Nothobranchius furzeri: one gene and its partners. The protein of the gene in region 1 interacts with the protein of each later gene in a biochemical or structural test. Links are inferred from orthologs where the notes say so. Each region holds a gene or a part of one and is shown in the gene's direction. Other genes may lie near its edges. The genes, in order: anapc11, ube2s and ube2c.

The links.
Region 2: the proteins of anapc11 (region 1) and ube2s form a complex in vitro, tested with the Homo sapiens proteins (31 studies listed by BioGRID). The link is inferred for Nothobranchius furzeri from reciprocal best matches to the Homo sapiens genes ANAPC11 and UBE2S.
Region 3: the proteins of anapc11 (region 1) and ube2c form a complex in vitro, tested with the Homo sapiens proteins (66 studies listed by BioGRID). The link is inferred for Nothobranchius furzeri from reciprocal best matches to the Homo sapiens genes ANAPC11 and UBE2C.

Annotation. Positions count from the first base shown.
Region 1 is NC_091744.1:6,780,281-6,783,634, forward strand, and holds anapc11 (anaphase-promoting complex subunit 11), read left to right. Parts: upstream 1-1,507; 5' UTR 1,508-1,857; coding exon 1,858-1,966; intron 1,967-2,557; coding exon 2,558-2,703; 3' UTR 2,704-2,826; downstream 2,827-3,354. UniProt on the Homo sapiens protein: Together with the cullin protein ANAPC2, constitutes the catalytic component of the anaphase promoting complex/cyclosome (APC/C), a cell cycle-regulated E3 ubiquitin ligase that controls progression through mitosis and the G1 phase of the cell cycle.
Region 2 is NC_091745.1:76,825,066-76,829,275, forward strand, and holds the start of ube2s (ubiquitin-conjugating enzyme E2 S), read left to right. Parts: upstream 1-1,342; 5' UTR 1,343-1,517; coding exon 1,518-1,520; intron 1,521-2,452; coding exon 2,453-2,600; intron 2,601-4,210. Other genes in the region: josd2 (josephin-2), read right to left, coding at 1-98. UniProt on the Homo sapiens protein: Accepts ubiquitin from the E1 complex and catalyzes its covalent attachment to other proteins. Catalyzes 'Lys-11'-linked polyubiquitination.
Region 3 is NC_091743.1:77,062,264-77,066,402, reverse strand, and holds the start of ube2c (ubiquitin-conjugating enzyme E2 C), read left to right. Parts: upstream 1-1,198; 5' UTR 1,199-1,304; intron 1,305-1,550; 5' UTR 1,551-1,570; coding exon 1,571-1,677; intron 1,678-2,719; coding exon 2,720-2,747; intron 2,748-3,188; coding exon 3,189-3,275; intron 3,276-3,363; coding exon 3,364-3,568; intron 3,569-3,673; coding exon 3,674-3,733; intron 3,734-4,139. UniProt on the Homo sapiens protein: Accepts ubiquitin from the E1 complex and catalyzes its covalent attachment to other proteins. In vitro catalyzes 'Lys-11'- and 'Lys-48'-linked polyubiquitination.

The DNA of each region.
Region 1 (3,354 bases):
GGTCAGATTAAGTGTCTGGATCGTTAGATTTTCGTATTAGCCAAGACTTTATGATTGATCTGGGCGGAATTAATCTGATATAAGTAGATCGGTCAAATAATGCAGATGCATCCTTAACTTCAAGGGAACAAGACATATTTAGCCTTTTTAGGGCCCCGATTCTTAGCGTGTTGTAAATGCTAACTGGCGTAACCAGTCTCAAACTAAACTCATATTGTTAAGCAGCTTTTGATGCCTCTGGTCCCTTCTGGCCCGTTACTAGGCCAGCTAGCTAAATTGATTTTACTCTGATGACTTGTACAATTACTGAACTCACTTAGATATGCATTTCCTAGACGTAATAAGACAGACTATTGAGCGTTTTGCTAAAACCTTATCTCATCAGTGTTTGGTTAGTTGACGACAACAACGAGCTAAGACAAAAACGTCCTCCTTACCTTATTTTTATCTGCTGGACAAATATCCTTCTTTAAAGTGTCTCCTATTAAGATAAAAATTAAAGAAAAAACAAACAACTAAAGCAAGTTGGGTGACTTATATTACCACTCAGAATGAACGGCTAGCTCAACGGTTATCATTTAGAAGCATGCTGAAGCTAACCACAGGGCCTGTTTTCTGCCTCCTGGTTAAACTGTGGCCCCCTTCTGGGTGGAGGAGGAATAACACAAAATTCAAACTACAATAAAACGATCAGATTGAATGAATGGATTAACCTGATGATGACAGGTTTAAGGAATTCTAATGTATTGGTGTAAATGTTGAGGTGTTATGGTTGTCCTTACTGATTACAGCTTTGAGGTATTTTTATTTCTAAAAACAGATTAAAGACAACAAAATCACTAAACTAAAATGGCAAATGTATTCTTAAAACGTATAATGGACTTTGGCACGCATCAAAATTTAAAGATGGGTTCATTAAAGTCTCTAAAATTAGGTATTATTGATAAAATCACAAATGCTGCCAACTTTTCAAAAATATTTCATATTTAATTTTTTATTTATAGCTATTGTAACTTTATAATATAGTTCCCTCCTCATTTATTCATGCGTCTTCTCCTTAACACAAATAATCCGAAAAGGCCAAAAACAGCTTCAATAAATGTCTTCTAAACAGAACCAAAATGTAGTTGCAACTGTTCGCCACTGGAGGGCGGCAATAGCTCATTTTATTCATATAAAGTCAATTAAAACTGCGCTTGTCGCGCCGTAGCTAGCTGAGTTTAGCTATTATCATTTTAAGCAATTATATTTGTAGGAAATTTCTTAATTATGTTATTTAAAAAATCTGGGTCCTTTCTAGCAAGGGGATTACAGATGGGTTAGTACCACAATTAAGTTTCCTCAAGGCTCAGGAAAATGTGATCGCTCATTTGTCAAATGTACATAAATTATGTGTTATTGAATTAAGTATATTTTCTGAGATGTTATTCCTCCATGCCAACATGTCTTTGCATGTCTGCAAATAAAACACCGCAGAGTAGCAGGTGAGAATTACTTTTTCTAAAGAGGGACATATTTCGTTGTAACACCGGATGACAGAAGTAGAAGAATGCTAAGCTAGTTAATTTGATTCTAAGTGTGTGCATTTACTTTAATGAACATACGTTTTTACTGTTGTTGCAAATCATTAAGGCTCATTGGTAGCTGCTCCGTGAACTGTGGTAAATATTTCAATCTGGAAAAAGTGCATTTGGTGGCGATCAATGCAGCTTCTGTGAGACGAACGCCAACCCCGGAAGTAACGGGACACAGCCTTACGTTGCAGAAAACAAATCTTTTTCAAAGTTGTATTTTACTGCTATTGGATGTCGGAAGGAAGAAACTGAATAACTCGCGGACCTGAAGTGCGGTTTGAGGATGAAAGTTAAGATCAGGCAGTGGAACGGGGTGGCCTCCTGGTTGTGGGTGGCCAACGACGAAAACTGCGGGATCTGCAGGATGTCCTTCAACGGCTGCTGCCCGGAGTGTGAGTAACCGAGCTGGGATGGGTTCTGGTTCGAAAGTAGCACCAAATCCGATGTCCTAAAATTAGATTTTAAATGTCCAGAACTAGAATAGGATGCCTTACATTAGCTTAAAACTATTGTTACAGAGCTGCTGAAAGGAAAATGTTTCAGGGTATGTTTGCTGTTAAGGGTGATCCTGCCCTAATGAGATCTGGAAGGCTAACTGAGGCCTACAACGATCTATTTTATTCTATTTAGGTACATCTGAGTGACAAAGGATTACAAAACATCCTTCATCTTTTGGATCAGTAGAAGAACAAACTGTAAAATGTTACTACAGCACCTTAAGAAAGGTCTTATGAATGTTTGTTGTCTGCATCTCATATCTCAAAAACAGCATAGGTTGCTGGTTTAGCTTGTGGACAAGCATACAATGCTGGTCCAGCATCCCATGCTAGACTAGCATTACATGGTGGAGCATCTTACCAGTACCAGTACAAAAGCACAACATATGCTGGAAACCAAACCAGCTGTGCTGTATTTTTCAGCAGGTTCTCTTCAACCTTTTACAGTGACTATTAATAAAATGTAATTAAAGTCTCATTTTGCAGGTAAAGTTCCTGGAGATGACTGCCCACTGGTCTGGGGTCAGTGTTCCCACTGTTTCCACATGCACTGCATCCTGAAATGGCTGAACTCACAGCAGGTGCAGCAGCAGTGTCCGATGTGCCGCCAGGAATGGAAGTTTAAGGAGTGAATCTGTTCATCTGTTTGCAGAATTCCCACATTTTTATCCCAGCTGTAAATAACAAGAGTTGTATTCGTCTACACTGATGCACAATTTTTCTGTTAAGTTTGTGATTAAATCTAAACAAATGAATTATGCTGTTGTGCTGTTGATTTACTGCTGCATCAGACTGATTCAAACTGCAATTCTTTTCAATTAGTTGATGTTTGTGTTTAAAAAAAAGGGGGAAATGGTCAAATAAAGGACAAAAACATAAGTTTTATACAGCAGTATCTAAAGGGTCCGCTGAAAAAAATATTCATCATAGATTTGACACTGCAGGACCAGAAAGGTACTTGGAGAGCAAGTCACCCCCAAATTAACTTTCTTTTCTGATGAACTATATTCAATTCAAAAATACTTTATTAATCCCAGAGGGAAATTAGAGTTTCTGTACACACTAGGGCCCGACTGATATATCGGCCGGCCGATATTGGGGTATTGGCCTAAAAGACGGCTGATGTGGCCGATATTGCGCTACCTATCCAGCAGATGGCACCAGCTTTATGAACTCGTGTTGTGTGTCTCCACTCCTTTGAACTTTGAACACAAATTATTGTTTTGGAACTTATTTATTTATTTATTCTTATTTATGTTTCTTATGTGCAATTATTTACTGTC
Region 2 (4,210 bases), on another chromosome or scaffold:
TGGCTACATCCAGAAACCGGAAGTAGCGCCCTTGTTGTGTTGTGTTGTTGATTAGATGACTTCACATATGCATCCAGTCTTAAATAAGTAAACAACATGCGTAGATTAGATTCCGTTTAACCTATGAGAACCGAAAATAACGTAAAATTAGCGGTGCAAACATCTTATTTTATGGGTTTCAAACGAGAAGTGCTAACGTATTCCAACGGGTTGAAATAAACGGTGACGTTGTGCTACAGCGCCCTCTAGTGGTCATGATTAGAAACGGGCGCATTACTAGAGGTGGTGATAAAATATTACAAATGTGGTCCTGGCTCATAAAAAACACCCTAACTACACATAACTGCGTGTTAATCCGCCACATAACTACACTCTTATGAATCGCACACAGTACAGTTTTCATTGGCGTGTTTTGTATTGAATGAGCTTCAACTCTTCCTGATTAGATTTAACACATGACTGTTGTTTTTCAGTGATTGTAGAGCACTGAACCATGATTAGAATGATGAACAACACATTTGAACTATTAGATTATCCAATTGAAAATTATGGATTGGCAGTATCTTTGGTTTTCAAAAACAAAAACGTTCTCCTTCATAAGTAATATAAATGTCAGCGACAACATATGTGTAATGACACGAAATCAATAGAATACATTACATTTTCAAAAGTAAAAATTATCACTCTCTGTTACTTTTATGTATAACAACTTCTTTAATGTATTTTACAACACTTTTATTGTATTTATCATTTATGCATTTTATCTTATTTTATTCTAGATAAGCATCTATCTATCTATCTATCTATCTATCTATCTATCTATCTATCTATCTATCTATCTATCTATCTATCTATCTATCTATCTATCTATCTATCTATCTATCTAGCTGATATATTGGATATGACAATGAATATGTTAGTACTTATGTGAATAAAGAATAGTAAATGTATAGTTATCTGCCCCGAATGTAATGTCTAACTTAAAAAAACAGTTCGTGTTTTAATAATCAAACGTATTCTGATCATTAAAAAATTCGTGAAATCCACAAATCCTTTAGTAAATGTATTTGTTGCGTTCTGAACTAACAGGGAACCTTTTAACTCCACCTTCCCGGAGCACCGCCAGCGTGTGCTGACATAAAAGGGTGCCGATCCATTATTAATCAAGGGCGTGTTTTTTTTTCTTTTCAAAATGACCAATAGCTGATTGGTATCAGTCCTGTTTCGGCGCGGTTTGGCTGATTGTGCTCCTACTGATGACGTAACAGAAATACTCTATCTTGTTTGGCTGTAATCGTCTGACGCGTAATTTCACTAAAATGCCGATTGGTCAATGGCAGTAGCTTAAACTGAGAAACGTAATTTCGTTCCTGGGAAAAGAAGAAAACAAAAACAGTTAGACTGGACTAAGTTTTCAACCAAGATTGTATTTCTTTTCGAACTTTATTAGAAAACACGTTTTTTTTTATCTGACACCAGGCGGACATTTATCACCTCAACAGATCTCTTTTTCGAAGATGGTAAGACTTAGCATCATGCTAACAGCTAACGGTTGCCTAGCTTGAGTCGATGTTAAGTCGTCGAAACATTTTCTTTATTATTTGAGTTTTGACTATTTTATATGTATTCCGGTAGTTGTTGAGAAAAGAACCTTCATTTTAAAACCTATCCAACGTCTTTAGTATAACTAATATTGGAATAAAATAACAAGAAGCGTTGAGGTTACCTGCTTAAAGCTAGGCTTGTAATGCTAGCTGTAACATAAATGTACTTAAGTTCATTTGATCGTTAGCGGACATTACAAACATTTGACTTATCTAAAGGTGTAGTTTTAAAAGACGCGTTCATACTGAGCTTGCCCTAAACGTGTTGATTGCTGAATTTGAAGTAACATTTCCAGATACTCAACAAGATGCGAACTAATGTGCCTTTTTTTGTATGAATATTATGGAAATAAAATAATGTTTTGCGTAGAAAACTTTCCTCTTTTATCTCCGTGTGAGATAAATAGTTCCCCAGCGAGGTTGTAAAACTGTTTTATCTGATTTAAACGATCAAAAATGATAATAAATTGGCAGAAAGACTGGCAAATAGGTAGAAACTTTGACACAATGCATTATTTTCACTTTAAACATCTTCTGTACGTTCATTTTGTGTATCTTTTTAAATACAATACAATTATTAATATTACTAATATTGTTTAGTTTTTGTCTATGCATAATTTTAAGTGTAACTTCTGATATTTCGTGTTTATTTATTAAAAAATTCAAATTAGCAAAGCAAACAGTCATTTATGACGTGCATTATTGAGTTAAAGCCATTTTAACGTTGGCCATCAACAGTGTAAAGGTGAAATTTATATATTTTATTTAAAAATATTGTTTCATGTTTAGAAATTCAGTGTTCATACCGAAACTCTTTAGTGCTAAGTCGTTGCTCTGTCTCTCCTCAGAACTCTAATGTCGAGAATTTGCCCCCTCATGTTCTGCGTTTGGTCTACAAAGAGGTTTCCGCTTTAGCAGCAGACCCACCTGAGGGCATCAAGATTTATCCCAGTGAAGAAGACATAACTGAACTCCACACGTCCATTGAAGGACCAGGTAACAGTCAGGATGCAACAAAAACTAAACATCTGTTATTGTTAGTTTAGTTTGATTATCTTACACACTTCCCATTTCAGTTGGTTAAAGAGACAGTGTGTAGTTTTTACTAGGGATGCACGATATATCAGCATTAATATCAGTATCGGCCAATGTTAGTCATTTTTTAACATAGCGATATCAGTCCGACAAGTAAAACTGGGCCGGTATTAACAAACAATATTTTTTCCATCTTGTTTCTGTTTGTGTATCTGTTTCCGAGGGTAAGGGGGGTGATGATGTGTAATTGTTTAGTCCTGTGACAGTGAAGGTAACAGATAAATGTGTGTTTATATAATATATTGCCAATTCCACTTAACAGAAATGAAGCAAAACATTCAAAAATTCAGCTTGCATAATTTCAGTCTATACAAAAGTAGCTGATTTCAGAAGCATAAATCAGTATCGCAAACATCTGTTATCGGCCGTAACGGTGATATTAATATCGGTCCAAAAAATTCATATCGGTGCATCCCTAGTTTTTACTGTCAATCTCTGAAAAAATCCATCAAAACTTTATTGAAAATAAATAAAGTTATGTCCAGTCGTTGAAAAGTATTGGCGGCTTTGTACCACAAACCCATAAGGTAGTTCTCATAGGGTGCGGGTCTGGTGTTTATTGGGGACACCTTGTTTCCTTCTGGCTGGCTCGGCGTCCTGTGCCTGTTGATGACGTCACACTAGATGAATGGCTGACTCACAGAAGTTGCGTTACCACGTTCACAAGCATTTAGGTAGTAAGAAACACAAATTTAATAACAAAACTGCTAAACTCTTTCCAAAACATATGTGGAAGAACAGAATCGAAAAAGAGATGCAGTATATTTTGACCGCGCGGTATTGTCGTAGTATGGTGATGTCATCAGCAGGCGCAGGACACCGAGAAGATCCAGAAAGTACAGCGTAGGGCTGCTCAATTAATCGAATTTTAATCCCAATTACGATCTGAGTTTTGAACGATTATAAAAACAAGCCGATTATTTGCTCCTCCCACTTGCGCTGCCCTGAGTTGCAAATGAAGCGCTCCTCCGTGTTGCCAACTTATCGACTTTGACGCTATTTCTAGCAGCTTTTCAGACCCCCTTCTTGACTTTTTAAATCTTAAAAGTACCTAGCGAACACCTCAGAAACATCTCTGGTAACCCTTAGCTACTTTCTGGATAACTGTCGTCGACATTTCTGCAGGTTAGCTAAACACTCCGCCTGCGCTCCGGACCGTTCTTCAGGACATTAGGAAAGGGAATGATGTAGTGATGTGTCAGTCGCTAAAGAAACGGCTCTCGGAGTCGGCTCCTTGTTGGAGTAACTAGAGTGAGTGACACACACACCGCACCTGCGGGCTCCTGAGCCGCTAAAAATGGCTAAATGTGCGCGTGCGGCGCGCTAAACACACGTGCATCTTGCCCATGATTGCTGTGAGACCGGGTTGGGGGGTGGGGGGGTGCAGCTGTGGTTGGGACAATTATTACATTAACTGATGGACTTGTAAATAAATAGTTTATAAATAAGGTAGAAATAAGTTCCTCACACTGATAACTAATAACTAACCTCTCTGAGGACACGGTGCTAGT
Region 3 (4,139 bases), on another chromosome or scaffold:
TTGTATTTATGGTTTGTGGTATTATTGTTGCTTTGAAAAAATAAACATGGGCTTACACACACACACACAATTCCCATCTCACCCTCCGCGGGTGGTCTCATCCAAGCTTGGGTCCTCTACCAGAGGCCTGGGAGCTTGAGGGTTCTGCAGTATCTTAGCTGTTCCTAGAGCTGCACTTTTCTGGACTGAGATGGTTTTCCTGGGATTCCTCCAGTCTGGGGGTTACTGCCCTGATGCCCATGAGCACCACCGATGTCTTCATTCTCCAGGCTTTCTCAAGTTCTTCTTTGAGGCCCAGGTAGTTTCTCATGCTCCTTTTTCCTGAGGTTACATCACTTTGTATCGCTATATCAACCACAACAGCTGTCCTCTGTTGTTTGTCCTCCAACACAATGTCCGGATGGTTCTCCATCACCATTTTATCAGTTTGGATCTGGAAGTCCCACAAGAGCTTGGCTCTTGTTCTCAACCACCTTAGGGGGTGTTACCCACTTTGACCTTGGGGCTTCCAGTCCATGCTCTGCACAGACGTTCCTGTACACTATGCCAGCAGCTTGGTTGTGGCGTTCCTTGTATGCTTTCCTTCCCAGCATCTTACACCCTGCAGTTATGTGGTGGATTGTCTCAGGGTTCTACACCTTGGGTCTTGTCTGGTGTGGTAGATGTTCAGGGCCTGTTCCTGTGCAGCCATGATGAGTGCCTCTGTGCTATTCTTCAGACCAGCTCTTTCTAGTTCTTGGTAGGATTTCTTGATATCAGCCACTTCATTATATATATATATATATATATATATATATATATATATATATATATATATATATATATATATATATATATATATATATATATATATATATATATATATTCCCCTCTGACCCTCTGCAGGTGTACTCATCCTCCCAAGCTCCAATTTTTGTGATCCATCATTTAACTTGATTTAGGCTCTTGACTCTTCTAGGAGATTTTATACATCCCTGTAGGAGGAGGGGTAAACAAAAATGTGTTTAATAACTTAGATTTTAAGTTCATTTATTTAAAAAACGCGTTTAAAATAACAAATTGAACCAATGACTTCCGCTGTGTGAACGCCTAGATGGTGGGGGCGGGTTCTGGCTGATTCTACTGGCCAATTACAGTGTAGCTTTTTAATCACCATCTTCTCATTGGTTCGATGAGGGTAGTTCATTTTTTGAAAGTCAGACACTGATTGGCTGTTTGTGAGGAAACGTCGTTTTAAACTGGGGGCGGCAGAAGAATCGGTTTGAATCTAGAGAATCCAGCCTTCCACCACGAACTGAACACCGGTGAGTGTTTAAATCAGCTATAGTATGGCTATAAATGTAATCATGTGTTAGCATGAAGACAAAGAGCCAGTGGTTCTGACCGGTACCACGAGGCACGGCTCAGCGTTTTCTCTGAAATCTCCGGGAGTTAGCATGTAGCTGCTGTTAGCTACAGAAGCTACGGCCCGCTCGGTTGGATTTGATCGGCTCGGTTCGGCCTGCCTCCCCTGCTCAGTCCGTCTGATGTTATATCTGTGTCCTCGGCAGGAGTCGGACTAGCAGCATTCATGGCCTCCCAGAATATGGACCCCGCCGCGGCTGCAGCTTCCTCCACGGCCGCTCTGAAAGGCAGCGAAAGCAGTGGCAACGCGACCAGAGGCTCGGTGACCAAACGGTGAGTTCCGGGCCGTTACAGAACCGGAACCTTACAGGTGTAAAGAATGGGTCGTTTACATCTTACTTCTGAACCATAAAATGTGAGATTCCATAGAAATATGAAATATCAATCTGATGGATCTTTGTTCAGAAGATCGGAACTTTTTATTGCAGGGATTAAGCAACACTTTGTACTAACTCCAAGGAAAGAGAGAGAGTCAGGTTTAAAATAGTTAAAGAAATGTACTTCTACACAATTTAAACAAGAATAACTTAAACACTGTGTACTGATGGAACTAAGGTGGTGTGTGTGTGTGTGTGTGTGTGTGTGTGTGTGTGTGTGATGTTGTTCAGAACCAGCGGCTCCGTAGAAGCAGTTAATTCTGAGTGGGAGTGAATGTTTTGCTCTAAACTTTAGTTGGAGATATATAACACACATGAAACGCCATCTGTCGGTCTACGTTTCTGCTGGACTTGGTTCTTCTTTGGACAATAAAATATCAATAACCCAGTGAGTTCTCCAGCAATGTGAGCCTGCAGCTGCATAACTAGAGATGTGCCAGGATAATCTAAACTAACCTAGAGTCTACGCAAAGGTGCTTCTGCTTGATGTGGTGGAAACATGAAGCTGGTTCCACCAGAGGAGCCTGAGAACTGGAAGTTCTGCCTCCTTACTACTTTTAGGACCGCTGGAAAGTTGAAGCCACAAGTAAAAAGCAGCCTGAGAGCCAAGTGTTCTGCTGGGAACATCTGGAACAAGAGCATCATTAATCGAAAAAGCGTGATCCTTCAGATTTGGAAATAAAATTGAAACTCAATTCTGGATATTTTAGCTAATGAAGTGATCCTAAAACTGAAGAAATCTGATCTCTCCTGGTTTTATTCATCACAAAAATGAATTTTATGAAACAGGAAAGTTTGAGTTGTTAACTGATCAGGTGCTTGAATTTTTTTTATTTGTGAAACAAATTGTTCTGTTATTGATCTTATTACTGCAGCTTATTTCTGGACCTGTGTTGCACTTGTTTAATTCGTATGTGTGTGTGTGTGTGTGTGTGTAGGTTGCAGCAGGAGCTGATGACTCTCATGGTAAGTTCACATCTATAGTTTTATTTTGGTTTCAATAACAAAATGAAAGATGGACGATCCTAACGGGTCACAGGACAGTTGTTAGTCAGAATGTTAACGAACCTGATGACCTGCACAAGTTCATCCTCATTGGGTGGTGGTGTTTACTCATTGATTGATGCACCCATAGTCACACGATCTCCTGCCTCAACACTAATGCAGAGTTGGTGCTGGTTAGGATGAGTGTTTAGCTTGAAGTGCACAGGTGGCGTTAGTCATCTGCAGGTCAGCTGCTCCGTTCTCATCCAGACACTTATCAATGATTTGTTTGTTTCTGTGATTGATTTCTCTGGTCTGATCATTCACACAGGAGCATCAATACCAACATACCTGACATTAGTAAAATCAACAAAACCTGATATTTCTGAGGTCATGTGACCTGTGCGTTCCTCCCTCCTGTAGATGTCGGGTGATAAGGGCATCTCTGCTTTTCCAGAATCGGATAATCTCTTCAAATGGGTCGGAACCATCGATGGAGCCCAAGGAACAGTATGACCACATAAATACAGCACGATCTAAAACTTGACCCCTCCACTTGCTGCTCTGATTCACCCGACACTCTTACCTGTGTGCCCAGGTGTACGAAGGCCTCCGGTACCGTCTGTCTCTGGAGTTTCCAGCTGGGTATCCGTACCATGCTCCTCGGGTAAAGTTCGTCACTCCGTGTTTCCATCCCAATGTGGACGATCAGGGCTTCATCTGTCTCGACATCCTGAAGGACAAGTGGTCGGCACTGTACGATGTTCGTTCTATCCTGCTGTCCATCCAGAGTCTACTGGGAGGTAACCGGAACCACCAGTTTGCTGTCTGCTAAAACCTGATGGATCCATCAGAGCCATCTTTGCACAGCTCAGAGAGCAGCACACAATTCCTTCTGTATTCCCCAGAACCAAACAACGAGAGTCCTCTGAACACGACCGCAGCAGAACTGTGGAGCAACCAAGGTGGTAAGTACACCCACAACCTTTCAGGCAGCCAGCAGAACCCAGAGAACGGCCAGCTACTAATACAATCGGTGTTTGGGTACTTTTGAGCAGTTCTCTTTTGTGACTTTGCTGGTGAAGGTTCTGTCATCCAGGTCATGGTAACCCAAAAGGATTCAAATGAAAGTGACTGGACTTCTTTGGTTTGAAGACGTTTCGCTTCTCATCCGAGGAGCTTTGTCAGTTCTAACTGGAAATGGGAGAGTCAAGCTTATAAGCTGTAGCTGCCTATTGTCTATAGAGGCCAACGACTCAGTGGGTAGAGAGGAGGGGTACTCAGAGTAGTTTCGGCTCGTTAAATAACAGATTCCAGTCAGAATTGACAAAGCTCCTCAAAGGAGAAGCAAAACGTCTTCAAGAAGCCAGAGAA